Linked DNA regions of Nothobranchius furzeri. The protein of the gene in region 1 purifies or fractionates together with the protein of each later gene. This does not show direct contact. Links are inferred from orthologs where the notes say so. Each region holds a gene or a part of one and is shown in the gene's direction. Other genes may lie near its edges.

Evidence for each region. The genes of interacting proteins can lie anywhere in the genome.
Region 2: the proteins of ess2 (region 1) and fra10ac1 purify together in Homo sapiens (co-immunoprecipitation; 3 studies listed by BioGRID and IntAct, counting the BioPlex papers as one, with this or other methods). This does not show direct contact. The link is inferred for Nothobranchius furzeri from reciprocal best matches to the Homo sapiens genes ESS2 and FRA10AC1.

What each region holds. Positions count from the first base shown.
Region 1 is NC_091746.1:52,059,083-52,063,458, reverse strand, and holds the start of ess2 (splicing factor ESS-2 homolog), read left to right. Parts: upstream 1-1,567; 5' UTR 1,568-1,791; coding exon 1,792-1,935; intron 1,936-2,164; coding exon 2,165-2,333; intron 2,334-3,005; coding exon 3,006-3,089; intron 3,090-3,199; coding exon 3,200-3,369; intron 3,370-4,376. UniProt on the Homo sapiens protein: May be involved in pre-mRNA splicing.
Region 2 is NC_091756.1:37,044,702-37,048,389, forward strand, and holds part of fra10ac1 (protein FRA10AC1), read left to right. Parts: intron 1-313; coding exon 314-359; intron 360-473; coding exon 474-550; intron 551-754; coding exon 755-838; intron 839-983; coding exon 984-1,068; intron 1,069-3,266; coding exon 3,267-3,312; intron 3,313-3,688. UniProt on the Homo sapiens protein: May be involved in pre-mRNA splicing.

The sequences.
Region 1 (4,376 bases):
TTTTTTTTGGTCCAAGTGAAGATTATTTTTAAGTGAAAAAGTTAAATATTAAAGCAATACTTGTACATAGGATAAAGGCTTAAAGTCATGTTTAAAATATAAAATTTATAAAATTAAGTTTTAAGAGGAAATTCTGAAATAGGCTATAGCTATTCGTATGTTTATTTTGAAAATTCTAAGTAATTTTACTGGAACGTTGGAACAATGAAAACACATTAAAACCAAATCAATCCTGCATGCAAAAAAAAAAATAAAAATAAAAATAAAAACCTAATTATTATAAATATGTTTTTTTAATTAAAGAAAATCATCTTTTATTTAGCATCTCTCAAGATAAAAACTCACGAGGTGCTTCACAACAACAGAAAATTCAAAATACAAAAAAAACTTAAAAAATTATTTAAAAACATGGTTAAAATTAGAAGAAAAACATAAAAAACAGATTTGTGATTTAAATGTGCAAGGAAAGGGAAAAAGAAAATGAATAGGAAAGAGGGAAATCAGTGGATCCCGGATAAGGCGTAATTGGTTTAGAGCAGAACAAGGAGAAGGTGATGATGAAGGTCACACCAAAACCAGCTTGAACAGGTGAGTTTTCAGCTGCTTTTTAAAGGAGACCACTGAGTCCACTGATCTCAGGCTCAGAGAGAGAGTCTGGGGGCCACAGCAGCAAATGATCTGTCACCTTTGGTCTTAATTAAAGTATCAATACCTGATGACTCCTGGAGCATCATTAATATTTACCTCATTAAAACATTGTCTTTTAACATTTGATGAGTGTCATTTTTGTTTGAGCCACTTGATTTTTTTATTTATTTGCTTGATAAAAATCCTTATGAAATGTGATAAGAGCAAGATGATCATTAAAACAAACGGATTGAAAAGCTTTTTATTGTTTCTTTATTAATAAACTCACCAGTGCGTTAAATCAAAAATCCATCATGTAAATTCATTCTAAAACATTTTACTACGTTTTAATTAACTTGGGCAATAATAATAATACATTCTGATAAGTTGGGATGCTGAGTTGCTGATAAATTTGAACAGTTTAAACTGTTTTAATGTTTTTCATTTGTTATTCATTCTGTCAGTTTGTTTGTTTGTTTTTGGTCAAATATCTTCATTATCAGAAAAGCTTATCATCATAAATATTCACACATAATTATATGAATACTGTCTGAGTATGTTTGCATCAAACTGGAGAAGTGGAGCAGGTATGTGAGAGAAATGTTGAATAAAAGAATAAAAAAAATTTGAAAGAGTAAGTAAAATGAACACAACGGTTTGGTTTAAGGATTCAGAACATAACTTTATGTAGACTTTTAAAAATCAGTTTTTGTTTTCGGATGCTGAAAAAGACCCGAGGAAAGATTGTCATTCTAAGTGAAAAGACTACGATGGGATCATGCATCTCTTAATGTAAAATTCCAGGTTTTTGTCTTGTAGATTTGTGATATAACTGATAGTATCATTTATATTCAGAATATTTTCATAAGCCTTTTATACTGGAAATTAGTTTAGAACAATAACTTCCGGTGACGTACTCGCTTAAATTGCGTAAGAAGAACGTTTTGTGTTGTGCGTTGGTGTTGTGGCTAAAAGTCAGCCTCTAAACCATATATATATATAGCGCCATTCCCACCGTGTGAAATTATTTAAAACCTCGGTTACGTTTTTAACGGTATTTATTAAGTGAAAAATCGTTCTCAGTTTTTTTTCTGAGATTATTTTCTCGTTATTCTCGTGACTCGTCTCTAGCCTGAAGGCTAACGCTAACTCTCAGGCTCCACAATGGAGGGTAGCAGTAGCGTGAGGAGAGCACTGTCCGGGACTCTCGTACCTCCAGCCGTCACGACAGTCGCTGTCAGTCATCCCGAGAACAAGGAGAAGGACACGTTGAAGAGAAAAATTCTCGATGAAGAGGAATACATTCAGGTAAGGGACTTGAAACAATATGAGTTTAGGCTCCAGTTAAAAACGGCCCATTTGCTAATAAGGCTAACCAAAATTATTTCGACTGTTGCTTGTTTTATTTTGTTATGGTAAATGATATTATGAAGGTTTAATCATAGTTGTTAGTACAGTGACAGTTTGGTGGATAATTATATTGGTAATAAAACGCTTCCTTCTGCTGTTAATTTATTCATGTTTGGTCTCTTGACAGAGCTTGGAGAAAATAATCCAGAGGGACTTCTTTCCAGATGTCACTAAACTACAAGCGCAGAAGGACTACCTGGAAGCAGAGGAAAATGGAGATCTTGAGAGAATGAGAGACATATCAATCAGATATGGATCATCCTTGACCAAGTCTACCCCACGAACGTCCGTACCTTGTGAGTAGAAACAAAATAATAACTGTTGGGATTCAACACACCTCGTTTATGTTTATTTAGCAGATGCTTTTGTCCAAAGCGACTTACAGGTGGTAATCAAGCCAGCAGGTTGCCCTCGAGGCTAACAACAAACACTATTCAGTCAATCTTGGCAGACAGGCAGCATAACCAATCAAAGAGGGAAGCGAACATGGAGTGTGCAGTAGAGTGGGGGACGGGTGCTGGGAGGGTGCTAGATTAGAAGATGCTCTCTTGAAGAACTGGGTCTTCAGGATTTTCTTGAAAATCGACAAGGAAGCCCCTGTTCTAGTAGTGCTTGGTAGGTAATTCCACATCTGTTGAACAATACATGAAAAGAGAGCATGGTGTAGGTACTGCTAGCCGACGATCCTTCGATGACCGGAGTGGCCGGGCCGTGACATAAGCCTTTGCAAGAGGATTCAGGTAGATGGGAGCTGTACCATCCAGGACTTTGTATGCTAGTGCTAGCGATTTGAATTTTATGCATGCAGCTAGAGGTAGCTAATGGAGATCAATGAATAGAGGGGTGACATGCTCTTTTAGGCTAACTGAAGACCAGATGCGCAGAAAACTGCTTCTTCGTTTTCTCTGCTCACTCTAAAGTAAATATTGATTGTATTGTTGCTGTGTTTTTACTTTTTTATGTGCAAGATGTGACTCCTGCCAGCTTTGAGACACCAGTGGGTCACCCAGGATCTCCCTCTACAACTTACAGTAGTAAAGGTTTAGATGCTGGTAAGTTATAGTAAAAAAAAAGTTTTTACTCTCTTTTTTGTTATAAGAATAGACATGTACACATTGAACTGCAATTAATCGTATTTTAAAAACAAATTATTTATTCATAGAAAAAAAGAACAATGACCAGGAAGAGAAAACCCTGCCCAGTTTAGACCGTTTTCTTGCTAAAAATACCAGTGAGGACAACGCATCCTTTGAGCAGATAATGGATCTGGCAGAAGACAAGGAGAAGCTGAAGCATGCCTGGTTATATGAAGCAGAAGAGGAATTTAAACAGGTTTGTCCTAAGAAGCTTATATTTAGTAAAAATGTCTTGATCACAAAATATCTCAAACTATGACTTTGATGGACCTGTTGATGGTTGCCATGGTAATTTTCTTCTCAAATTAACATTTGAATATCTCATAAAATAATATGTAACTAAAACACATGAAAAATATCAGAGAAATATGTTAAAATAAAGCAAAGCTGTTAAACTGAATTAATTTAAATTCCCTTCTGCACATTAAATTACCTTACATACCTCCTCCCATCAAGTAACGCTGCCACTGTAACAAACAGGGTTTAGCTAATTAACATGAACCCTCTAGGGTCATTGGAGGAGTCTGATTTGAGTAAAAGGGTTAGGGTTAGATCTTAGCGGTTGTTTGATTGAACATCGTTTCTCCAGTTTTACCCTGACCCACGTTGGGTCTCAAAACACTAAATTAAACTCAAATAAAACTTTCAAACAATGATCAAATAAGATATTTCCAAGCTATTTTTGTAAAATATGAATCATAAGCATATAAAAGTGGTATGAGTTGAAGTTGTTTGTGTTCCAATTATGTTCTTGAATATTTGGCCTTTTAATTGTTTTTGTCTTGTTCAGCCATCAACATTTGGGGTCACAAGTTATTATTTTGGGGGTCAGAAGGTTGAAAATCTAATAATTTTACACATAAATCATCTCACTGCTAGATTCAACCGAAGTATTTTGTTGTGTACTATTTTATGACACATCCTGTTACTTTACTAGATGTCCTACAGCAGGATGGAAAGGACCTTGGATCTTTGATTCTTGTTTCCAGTAAATATTAGTGAGAAAAACACAGCTGCTGTCTGGGTTGTTTTGTTGGTTGGGTGTGTTGTGTTGTGTTTATTAGCTAACAAATGACATTAGCTAAAATGATAATCTAGTTGTCATTTAACTTTTGATTAGGTAATAAACAAACCAAGTTTTAGATGATGTGGAGCTTTTGGGTGGTTGTAATTTGGACAAAACCTTGCAATTAGTGATGCACC
Region 2 (3,688 bases), on another chromosome or scaffold:
TGGGAGGGGTGGGAAACCGACTGCTGCCTGTTTGTTTTGAACGCTGTAAAGCGCTTTGAGCTGCATTTGTATGAAAAGCGCTTAATAAATAAATTTGATTTGATAATAAAAAGTTTACTGACAGGAGAAATCTGAAATGATTCAGTTAGATGTTGTTTTTGCTTGTTGTTTGTGTCCACAGAATGAATGAAACTTTAGAAATGATGAAACCCTGACCCTCTCACAGCTACACTTCAACAGCTATGCATTCGCCTGAATACACTGTTGCATTTTTTAAAAGGGATGCTGTCCTCCCTTCCTTATTGTTTTTCAGAGAAGAAGCTAGAAACAGAAGAGCCCACCTAATATCAATGAATGCCGTATCCTTTCTTTAAAACTTTGCCTTCACTTGTATATTACCCATCTTTTTATTATTGATAGTAACACAATCAAAAATCTTATTTTTTTAATAGTTTCTTGACAATAAACTCCAGTTTGAGCGACATAAGAAGTTTGTTGGTGACTACATTTTGTATTACGGAGGACAGATGGCCGACTTCAGACGCTCTGCGTAAGTGATCTGCCTCACAGCTTGAAAATCCATCGTCTGCCGTCTCTGAGGGCCAAATTAATAACAATTTGTTTTCTGTGTGACAACATTTGGATGCATTGTTTTGGTTTTGTTAAACACTTAATTACAACCAATCCATCACTAATTTATTAATTTATCTGTACGCCGAATCTTTTTCATTTGGCTCTTTAATATTTGCTTCAGAGCGAAAGACAAAACGGATCTGGACGTGCTGCGTGAAAACCACCGCTTCCTTTGGAGGGACGAGGACGAGGAGGAGATGACATGGTGATCACATGAAATCAGCTGCTCATTAAGGAGACTTTGATATCAATTTGATTTCAGATTGATCAGTTCTCTTATGAAAAATTGCATTTAGCTTGTGCTCAGTTAAATTAACTGGTTTTTGTGCTGTTTTCAATCTCACTTGAAGGGAAAAAGAACTTGCCAAGAAGTATTACGACAAGCTGTTTAAAGAGTACTGCATAGCTGACCTCAGCAGATACAAGGAAAACAAGGTGAGCTGGTGAATGAAGCAGAGCTCATATAAGGAATAGTTGATCCATAATACAGCAGAACATGCACATGGGTCAGATGCTTGTGTATAAAAACACAGACAAGAGTTAAAACAACTGCATGGTGGTGCTGTTGTTTGCGTTGTTGCCTTGCAGCAAGAAGGTTGCAGGTTTGAACCCCGGCTGTGGTCTTTCTGCATGGAGTTGCATGTTCTCCCACGCATGTATGGGTTTCTTCCGGGTACTCCGGTTTCCCCCACAGATCACAACATGCCCTATAGGTTAAAAAGTATGTCGCTTTGGATAAAAGCGTCTGCCAAATAAATAAACAATAATAAAAAATTTAAAAAATCTCTACACTGCCAGGGAAATGCAGAATGATAATGGAAACTGTGTAAAAAGATTATTCAGTGATGTGGAATAATCAAAAAACCTTCAGTTATTCTAAACAGTCTTTAAAACTTTACTGTGACATCAGTCAGTCAGTAAATTAAAGGCAAGGCAGCTTTATTTTTATGGCTCATTTCATACACAGAGGCAATTAAATATGTTTTCCAATGAGCAAGAATAGCAAGAAGATTAAAAATTAACATGACGGAAAGTACACACAAAAAAAGTTTTGATTTCAAAATTAAAAGAAACGAACAAAGTTAAAAGATGAGCAGCCATTCAAAGGCTAATGAATATGTAAAAGGTTTCAATTTTGATTTAAAAGTTTCTAGAGTTGGGGCACATTTGAGGTCATGAGGAAGCCGATTCCATCTGTGTGCAGCATATTAGCTAAAAGCAGCTTCACTCTGTTTGGTTCTGACCCGAGGTTCTACCAGCTGACCGCTTCCTAAGGATCTCAGAGCCCTGCTGGGCGTATATACCTGAAGGAGATCCGGCATGTATTCTGGCCCCATGCCACTGAGTTATTTATAAACTAGCAGAAGCACTTTTAAGTCGATTCTATAGTTTACTGGTAACCAGTGTAGAGATTTAAGAAGAGGAATGACGTGCTTGGTTCTCTTGGTTCTTGTTAAGACTCTAGCAGCAGCCTTGTGAATAAGCTGCAGTTTCTTCACAGCTTTTTTGGAAATACCAGACGAAAAGACCATTGCAAAAGTCCAGCCTGCTGTAAATGAACACATGAATGAGTTTCTCTAGGTCTTGTCTGGACATGAGACCCCTGAGTCGTGCTATTTGATAGATGTTAAAACGCTGATCTAGTTATAGCCTTATTGTGACCCGTGAAGCTTAAGTCTGAATCAATTATGACACCAAGATTCTAACCTAGGTCTTTGTCTTTATTCCTCTGGAGCTAAGTTGAGCAATAACCTTCATTCTATTCTTATTTCCAAAGACAATAACTTTAGTCTTGTCTTTGTTTAACTGGAGGAAGTTTGATTGCATCCAGTCATTAACTTGCTCTAAACACTGGTAAAGTGAGTCTAGAGAACCACAGTCACTAGGTGATAGAGCAGGTGAGAGCTTCACGTTTCAACTTTTTAACGCATTTAGTGACCAAACAAGAAAACAAAAATAATTAACAGAAAATTCGGTCCGTTACAACATTTATTTTTCAACACATCTTCTCAGATTAATGCTCTGTGCCATTAGTTAACCCTTTGCGTGCCAACTGTGGCACGAGTGCCCGGGGTTGCCGACCCCTGTGATAGAGCAATGTAGATCTGGGTGTCATCTGCATAACCATGATGGGTAAAATTGTTATTGTTTATGACCTGACCCAGGGGGAGCATGTAGAGATTGAAAAGCAGTGGTCCAAGAATTGAGCCTTGGAGGATCCCACATGTCATGGTGATCTGCTTTGATTTGTGATTACCAATAGAAACAACATAACCCCTGTCTTTGAGACATGATCGGAACCAACTTTGGACTGTGCCTGATAGTCCCAACCTTCATCTATAAAGCCCATTTCATACACTTTAATGCAACAATGTGCAGCGAGTAAAATAAAACGCACACAAATAATGAATAACTGCAGAACAAAGGGAGATTCAAAGGAGCATCAATAGGTATTGACAGGAATAACTAATATGAAGGAACCAAAAGAACTGAGTGAGCACCAGAGATAGTAATAGTAAAAATGACTTAATGAAAACATTTTAAACCAAATATCAAAACTAAAGTAATTCTCAGAATTATATACAAATGGAGAACAACTGAAATTTAACTCTGTTTTAATCTGTCTCCATCAGTTTGGATTTCGTTGGCGGACTGAGAACGAAGTTGTCTCTGGGAAAGGTACAACTTGCTCTTATTTTCTGTAGATTCTTTGTTTGAATTATTTTCTTGAATGTGTGCTAAAACTGTGATATTTTCATTTCTATGTCATCTTTATTAAATATATCCCAGACAATTTTAGGTTTATAAATGAGCTTTTAGAGATTTTTTAGACTTTTCCAAAAAATACTCTGAGCTTCCACGCAAAGTTGCAAAGTTATGCTCTGTTATGCTGATTGATATATATACTGTATATGTACTGTGTATATATATATATATATATATATATATATATATATATATATGTGTGTGTGTGTGTGTGTGTGTGTGTGTGTGTGTGTGTGTGTGTGTGTGTGTGTGTATTTTCTGAGTTTTCATTGAATATTTTCCACAACAG